Linked DNA regions of Callithrix jacchus. The protein of the gene in region 2 binds, or shares a complex with, the protein of the main gene of each other region. Links are inferred from orthologs where the notes say so. Each region holds a gene or a part of one and is shown on either strand. Other genes may lie near its edges.

What was found. The genes of interacting proteins can lie anywhere in the genome.
Region 1: CEP290 (region 2) and TMEM107 share a complex: the UniProt entries of both Homo sapiens proteins name them as parts of the tectonic-like complex. The link is inferred for Callithrix jacchus from reciprocal best matches to the Homo sapiens genes CEP290 and TMEM107.

The regions. Positions count from the first base shown.
Region 1 is NC_133506.1:74,652,679-74,656,945, forward strand, and holds TMEM107 (transmembrane protein 107), read right to left. Parts: upstream 2,860-4,267; 5' UTR 2,735-2,859; coding exon 2,648-2,734; intron 2,472-2,647; coding exon 2,404-2,471; intron 2,304-2,403; coding exon 2,203-2,303; intron 782-2,202; coding exon 685-781; intron 464-684; coding exon 394-463; 3' UTR 219-393; downstream 1-218. UniProt on the Homo sapiens protein: Plays a role in cilia formation and embryonic patterning. Requires for normal Sonic hedgehog (Shh) signaling in the neural tube and acts in combination with GLI2 and GLI3 to pattern ventral and intermediate neuronal cell types.
Region 2 is NC_133510.1:93,098,951-93,102,565, reverse strand, and holds part of CEP290 (centrosomal protein of 290 kDa), read right to left. Parts: intron 3,251-3,615; coding exon 3,086-3,250; intron 2,122-3,085; coding exon 2,014-2,121; intron 1,770-2,013; coding exon 1,635-1,769; intron 136-1,634; coding exon 1-135. UniProt on the Homo sapiens protein: Involved in early and late steps in cilia formation. Its association with CCP110 is required for inhibition of primary cilia formation by CCP110.

The sequences.
Region 1 (4,267 bases), on a different chromosome or scaffold from region 2:
AATGCTCCAATCATTTACGTGCTGGACGTTCTAACTGTATGCACTTTTATTTACATATCCCCGCCCACTTCCTTCCCCCAGACGTCTACCGTAATAACCAAAATAGAAGCGATATCAAGTATCTTACGGTCTGCAGGACTAGAAAACAGCGTAGTTGTTTTTTTCTTCAATAGTTAAGCCATCCCAATTGTCCCCTGAAAACTATATAACTCTTGATCTTACTACAAAACATATTTTATTACAAAACACTAAATACAATGCTGATAATCCCATACATCCAACACATATCCTCTAGCAGAAGCAGTTTCCAAGGGGAAGACTGAAGCCTATGCCTTTCTTCTTCCAGGAATACGAAGCGGCCTCCCATGTAGCCTTCGACCATCAGGAAGGTGATCAGAAAGGTTTCTTTTTCAGCCCAAAGATGGCGATGAATAAAGCCATTTCAGTGACAGCTGGAAGGGCACTACCGAAGCAGGTGGTAGATTCAGAAATCCTTTCAATATAAATATGCAAATCTCCAAACTAGAGACCCCACCCCTGAAAGTATAGGGCAGGTGGCATGGGGATGGGGGATGAAAAAGACTACAGGATCTCATGCATGGAAGAAGGGACCGGGTGGGGGAAAACTTTCAGATTTAGGGTAAACCTTCCTCCCTCATCCCCAAATATTGGGTGTTACCACACCTGCAGAAGAAAAAAATGTACCAATACGTAGTGCACTCCCAACGCTCAAATATGAAGAAGGACAGGGCCACGGATGCACTACAGTGAGCCCCAATGGCTTGGGAAGGCACCACAGTTAAGGAAAGTCTTTGGATCGACAGATAGTGATGGATCAGAAAACATCAGTGGTGGGGTTGGCATCTGCACTCAGGTTCATCGCTTGCTCCCTCACCATATTGCAAGGGCTAGAGTCAGCAGCCCTGACTTCTGAATTGTAGGATGGTCATATGAGGAGAGACCAGAAGTAACTGCATAGATGGGACCTCAGGCTAGCCTACCCCACATCTAGAGGCCAGCTTGGACCCTTCAGATGAGAGGTAAGAGTAGGCTCTCCTACCATGCCACACAGGAGTGCTGACAGCGAATTGATATGCTCTGCTGGAATCAGCCTCCAGGGTTCTAGCACTCCTGGTTCACAGTTCTCTGACCCACGTGCTTCATTTCCTTTGCCATTTCTGAGTTCCCATTGTGCTTTCTACCTTTTGTTTGTTTGTTTGTTTGTTTGTTTGTTTGAGACAGAGTCTCACTTTGTCACCAGGCACCAGGCTGGAGTGCAGTGGCACAATCTCGGCTCACTGCAACCTCCGCCTCCCGGGTTCAAGCAATTCTCCTGCCTCAGCCTCCTGAGTAGCTGGGACTACAGGCACACGCCACCACGCCCAGCTAATTTTTGAATTTTTAGTAGAGACGGGGTTTCACCATGTTGGCCAGGATGGTCTCAATCTCTTGACCTCGTGATCCACCTGCCTCGGCCTCCCAAAGTGCTGGGATTACAGGCTTGAGCCACCGTGTCCCGCTTGTTTGTTTTTTGACGGAGTCTCACTCTGTTGCCCAGGCTAGAGTGCAGTGGCTCAACCTCGGCTCACTGCAACTTCTGCCTCCCAGGTTCAAGCAATTTTCCTGCCTCAGCCTCCTGAGTAGCTGGGGTTACAGGTGTGCCGTCACCACGCCCGGCTAATTTTTGTATTTTTAGTAGAGAATGGTGTTTCACCATGTTGGTCAGGCTGGTCTCAAACTCATGACTTCAAATGATCCACCTGTCCTGGCCTCCCAAAGTTGCTTGAAATAAAGGCGTGAGCCACCGCGCCCACCCCTCTTTACACACTCCTATAGCACCCTGCTTATCACTGAATTACAGATATGTGTCTGCCTCCTCCTCATGATAAACAAAAAAGGTGAAGTTCTCATTATTACTATTATTTTTGTAGACATAGGGTCTCACTATGATGCCTCAAGCAATCCTCCTGCCTGGGCCTCCCACACTGCTGGGAATACAGACATGAGTCAACGTGCCTGGCCGAAAACTGTTTTACTCTCATTTTGGGATTTTAAGTGCCTAGTAAACAGCAGGATTTAGCACATGTTTGAAGATATCCGAACTGGAGAGATTGGTTACAGCAGACACTATGGTGTCAGGTGGCTGAAGGGAGTCCTGATGGAAATGGTCGTGTGGGAAAGGTGAGCAGGAGGAAAGGATACAGATGAGGCTCTGGGTGCTGTTGAACATGGAGACTCCTAGAAGGAAACCGGCCAGCTCCACTGCAAAGAGGCCCAGAGTGACAGAGAGCGCGGCCACCAGCCTGCAGAAAGGAAGTGGACAGCCTCAGGCCCTTGGACTTCTAAGAACCCTCCACTCCCACCACCTCTCCGTTCTGACCAGCCCATTCCGAGAGAGCTCACTGAATGTCCTGCTTTTCATACTCCTCGGGGGTGAACCTGAGAGGCAGGCAGGCCTGGATGTTGCTGTCCTGGGAGCAGAGCAGAGAGGAAGAGAAGTGAAAAAGGGACGGGCGGCGAGGCAGGCCTGGGGGCGGCGGGGAACGAGAAGACCTAAGTGGGTAAGACACTGGGAGAGGGGCAAGATGGGGCTGGGACCACTCCGAGGTGGGAATAGGGGCGGACGGATGTCAGCCGTGGGTCTTACCCGGGACCAGAATAAGGTGATGACGACCACCAGATGCGCCAGGAGCGTCAGGAAGCGAGAAGGTACGAGCCCTGAGACCCGGCCCATGGCCCTTGGAAACAGGGGCGGCGGTCTCAGAGGCCGGAATTTCAAAGAGAGCGACTCCTGAAGTCTCCCTGCAAGCGGACAAAATCTAGACGAACGCCTCCTTCCCGCCCGCTCAGGCACCGCCCAGTTACCTTGGTAACTCCGTACGCGAACGCGGCGCCGCGTTCTCGAAAAACATCGCGAGAGCAGTATATTCTCAAGCTGCTGCTGGCCTCTTCCGGCTTGCGCAGGTCAGGGCTTCCCCGAATGCCATTCTAACCCAACGTTTGGGTATCCGCGCGTAGCCAAGCCCTTTGTTCCTGAGAGGGTGCGAGGTGGCACGGCCCCGCAGCGCCCGATCTACCCGCCCAGGACCGACGAACGGAAACCGACCTGGGCTAGCCTGGGGGCACCTCGGCTTCCGCAGTTGCCGGGAGCGGCCCCCAGCCCCTTCTACACCGACAATTGTGGATCTCCTGAGGCCGCGCCACCGCCATGCCGGGCTGAGGTCCGGGTCCCCGCCATGCCGAAGACTCAGACACGCTCCCCTTCCCCTCCTCCGTATGCCTTTAGCTTCCCACCAAGCTGGCCTCAGAAACAAGGGTCCCGAACTTGGAGAGGCGGTGTCCCTAGACTGCTCAGCAGTCACAGATTGTCACGGAGCCCCTGGATGTCTGAGGACCCCAGGCCTGAACTTTCCTTGAGGAAGACTGATTTCTCTCAGTCTAACTTTGCTCAGTTTGGTGAGGGATTTGCAGAGTGCAAAAAATGGCAGAGCAAGGGGACCGGAAAGGGTGGGAGTGGATGGAGGGAATGGACAGTCCCTGCATCCCTGGGAGGCTTGGAGCTGACTGGAACGGAAACTCAAATCAGATTTCTTTATCTCTTGGAGGTGCTGGGCCTCCGACATTACCCAGCTACAGTCCAAGAAGCTCTTATCATCGGCAACCTCATGACCTTTGGGTTTCAGCGCAGGTCCCCGCTGATCGGAAAGCTCTTTCTTCTCGCAATGCTGTCAAGTCCCATTCTCAAGGGTCCTCCCGGCTCATTTCCCCGGAGAACAACCGCTTCCTCTTCCTCACTCCCCGTCTCAGTGCCTTTAGCCAGTCTAAATATATGCCCAAGAGGCATTTCTCATTTCTTCAAATATTGTTTGTATTTACTGATTACCTAGTAGGTGGATTCTAGTCAGGGAGATCAATAATAGACATGCAAACAAATCCGCAAGATACTATATGCTATGAAAAGGGAAACGCTACAATTATAATTCTATAAAAAGAATGGGGCATTTGTTCTTAAACTTTATTTTAGAAAATTTGGCGCAGTAGCTCATGGCCGTAATCCCAGCACTTTAGGAGGCCAAGGCGGGCAGATCACCTGAGGTCAGGAGTTCTAGACCAGCCTGATCAACATGGTGAAAACCGGTCTCTACTAAAAATATAAAAATTAGCTGGGCATGATGGCGAGCACCTGTAATTCCAGCTACTCGGGAGGCTGAGGCAGGAGAATTTCTTGAATCCTGGAGGTGGAGGTTGCAGTGAGGCGAGATCGCGC
Region 2 (3,615 bases):
TCTGCCTAGCTCAGCTATGAGCTTTTCTCTTTCTGCAGTGGCAGGCAATCGAAGCCTCAGTTCATTGATTACTTTGTCTCTTGACAGTATATTTTGTTCTGCTAACCTTAAAGCAGATTCTTTCTCTTTTAGCTTCTGCAATGATTAAATCACAATAAATCAGTAAAGCATATTTTTTCCTTTAAATACTTCATCTGAATTTTAGGTTATTAGCAAAAAAAAATTCACTTTATTTTTCTCATCATATGTACAATAGCCATTTGATACTTAATAAGGTTAAACTATTTCTAATTGACAACATTTATTTACATAGTTTATAAGAGTATTACATATGTTAGAAACTTCACTGTTACAACAAAAATAAAATTTAATTAATGTACTTTATTGAGATATTACAGTTTAGAACTACAAATGTGTGGTTGTGCTAGATTTAGGAAGAATATGTAATAAATTATTTCCTTTATTTTGGTCCATTGACTAGCAGAGCATTAGAAGACTAATCTAAAGTCAGTGAAGTACAAAACTGGAATTTTAGTGGCCCAAGTCAAGAAATTAGTATTATAAAACCTGCACTTTATTAAAACAAAACAGAAAAAAAAAAACTAGAAAAATTTTTACTCTTCAAGAGGATTAAGGTATTTTAAATTAAGTGATTCAGTGGCAATTCACATAAATGACAAATCTTACAATTACTGAGGAAAATCTAAGTTTCCTGAACTGATTAAAAATGTACAATTTTACTTGAAAAACTCCTTTACATATATTTTTAAGTGTATTTGGGGTTAATATATTTATATGGAAACTAACATGAAAATCATATTTTTAATTATTTTCAAAATAATTTAATAAAGATGACAGATTTGATCACCTACTAACCAAAGTCAAGATCTAGATTAAAACAGAAAATAATTTCTAATTTACCTTCAACCCTTTAGCCATGCATAAAAAGGAATGAACTGAAAATGGATTAATAGATTATGTAACATGTACTTCAAAATAAAACCAAAAAAATAAGGAAAGATCATATAAAGGAAAATAATATATGGTTCATAAAGCTACAATTAAATGCTTTTTTTTCCTTTCACGCTAGTGCTGATCAGTGAACCTAAAGGTAACAAGTTATAACTAAATAGTGAATTCAGGGCCGGGAGCAGTGGCTCACGCCTGTAATCCCAGCACTGTGGGAGGCCGAGGCGGGTGGATCATGAGGTCAAGAGATCGAGACCATCTTGGACAACATGGTGAAACCCCGTCTCTACTAAAAATACAAAAAATTAGCTGTGCATGGTGGCGTGTGCCTGTAACCCCAGCTACTAAGGAGACTGAGGCTGGAGAATTGCCTGAACACAGGAGACGGAGGTTGCAGTGAGCTGAAATCACGCCATTGCACTCCAGCCTGGGTAACAAGAGCAAAACTCCGTCTCAAAAAAAAAAAAAAACAAACAGTGAATTCAAATTAACCATATCTGCTATTCATTATCAGTTGTTAGAAGCATTAAAGGAGAACAGAAAAAGAGTGAAATTAGCAACAGATTCATCATTCTATGCATCATCCTCATAAAGAAACATTATTTAACACCCCCCACAAACATTCCAAAGAATACACGAATCAAAATGCAATTTTTTCTAATTACCTCTTCAAGTGATTTGCAAGTTGCCTGTGTTTCTAGGATTATCCGAATGTTCTCCTTAATTTTTCTTAAAGCAATCTCAAGTTGATTTGGAAGGGGCAAACTAGGGTCAGGGATTGATCCTGTAGCTTCTTCAAACTATTAACAAATAGTATGTTTTCTTAAAAAAGCAGTTACAGCATTGAAAATAACAATATTAACTTTTACGGCTTTATGATAAAACATAGATTAAACCCCTCATATTTTAAATATACAAATATAAGATCAATTAATATATACAAATATAACATCAGTTAAAATTATATCTGATACAGGAAATATTTCTGTGAATTAACACTCTAGGCCATGCTACAGAATAGCAAACAAGATTAATCATTCATACCTTTTGTGCTGCATTTAGTATTTCATTTTGCTGACGATCAAAAATGTCTAGTTGACGTTCCAGGTCAACTTCTCTTTGATCCCAAGCCATTTGTCTTTCTTCATGAAACTAACAAAAGACAATTTGTGTCAGACACATACACAAAGACATCAGGCACATAACAAGCATTTCATATATTTTTTCTTAACTAATCCTCACAACACATTGATGAAACTGTAATTATTTTCCTTTTATGAAAAATAATATAAACTCAGAGAGGTGACGTAACTTGTGTAAGATCACAGAGAAAGGCACATGTGAAGTAAGAAAGGCAGAAAGGCAGATGTAATTTAAATCTCTCTATCCATCCATCCATCCATCCATCCAAAATATATTTAATTATATATATTGTGTGCAAAGCATCATTCTAGGCAGTACAAACACAGCGGTAAACAAAACCAAGTCCATGTCACCATGGAACTTACATTCTGGTGAAGGAGAGACAGTCAATAATAAACAAGTAAGTATGTAATATACCTGAAGGTTACAAGTGCTATGGAGAAAAATTAAGATAATCTCTATTTAGGGAATCTTGACAGTAGAATTTACGGTTGTATCTTAGGTGGCTGGTGATGGATGCACTGATAAGATAAGACATATGAGCTAAGACCTGCAGGCACTGAAAGTGTAAACACCACGGGTATTTATGGTAAGAACAATTTAAGCAGAGGGAACAATCTCTGAGACAGTCATATGTCTGATGAATTTCATCTGTCTCTGTAGCGCACACTTTATTCTATAACAAGCTGCCTTCTTACTCTGTCAGTGAGAGCCAGTAGAAACCTGGAACTGTGAAAAGTCAAATAACCAATCTCAAAATAAAAATTAACTTATCAATGAGGTTGTCTATATATTGCCCTTTTTAAGACTAATGTTATAAAAACTAAATATAAATTTTCAGAATAGTTGAAAAAATAAGAAAAAATTATTATGTAATCAATTAGTAATAAAAGCTGAATTCAATTAGAATAACATAGTCATTTGTGCAATATTCTTATCTAAAATCTTAGAAAATACAAAACAAATATAAAACCTTGTTCTGTTGCACAATTTCTTCTTCAAGATTGCTGATTGTATGTTCATATTCAGAAATTATATTATTTAAATATTTTATTTCTTCTTTATCTTTGACTAATTCTCGATTTAGTTTAAGCTCTTGAAGACGAAGTTCTTCTATTTTCATATGCCAGTTGATTACCTAAGATTTACAATTTATATATACAAATATAAATGCCATATCAACAAACAATATTACTTTATTGATCATAATGATTTTAGTTGAAAGTAATGGTCATTCTAAAGTAAAATAAGACACAATGTTATCTTTTCTCAAGCCACATGACAAATTTTTATTTAGGATTTCCATTGACTTTTCTACAACTGTGGGAACTTACAATAAAATCTTCAAATTATATTGGAATGGACATTACTAACATTCACTTTCATTTTTTTCATTTGTTATATGTTTATTGAACACTGACTATAAGCAGGTCATTGAAACATTAGTATTATTTTCAAAAACAGAAATCTTAAATGTTTCTAGCCTAGAGAATAGAATGTAGT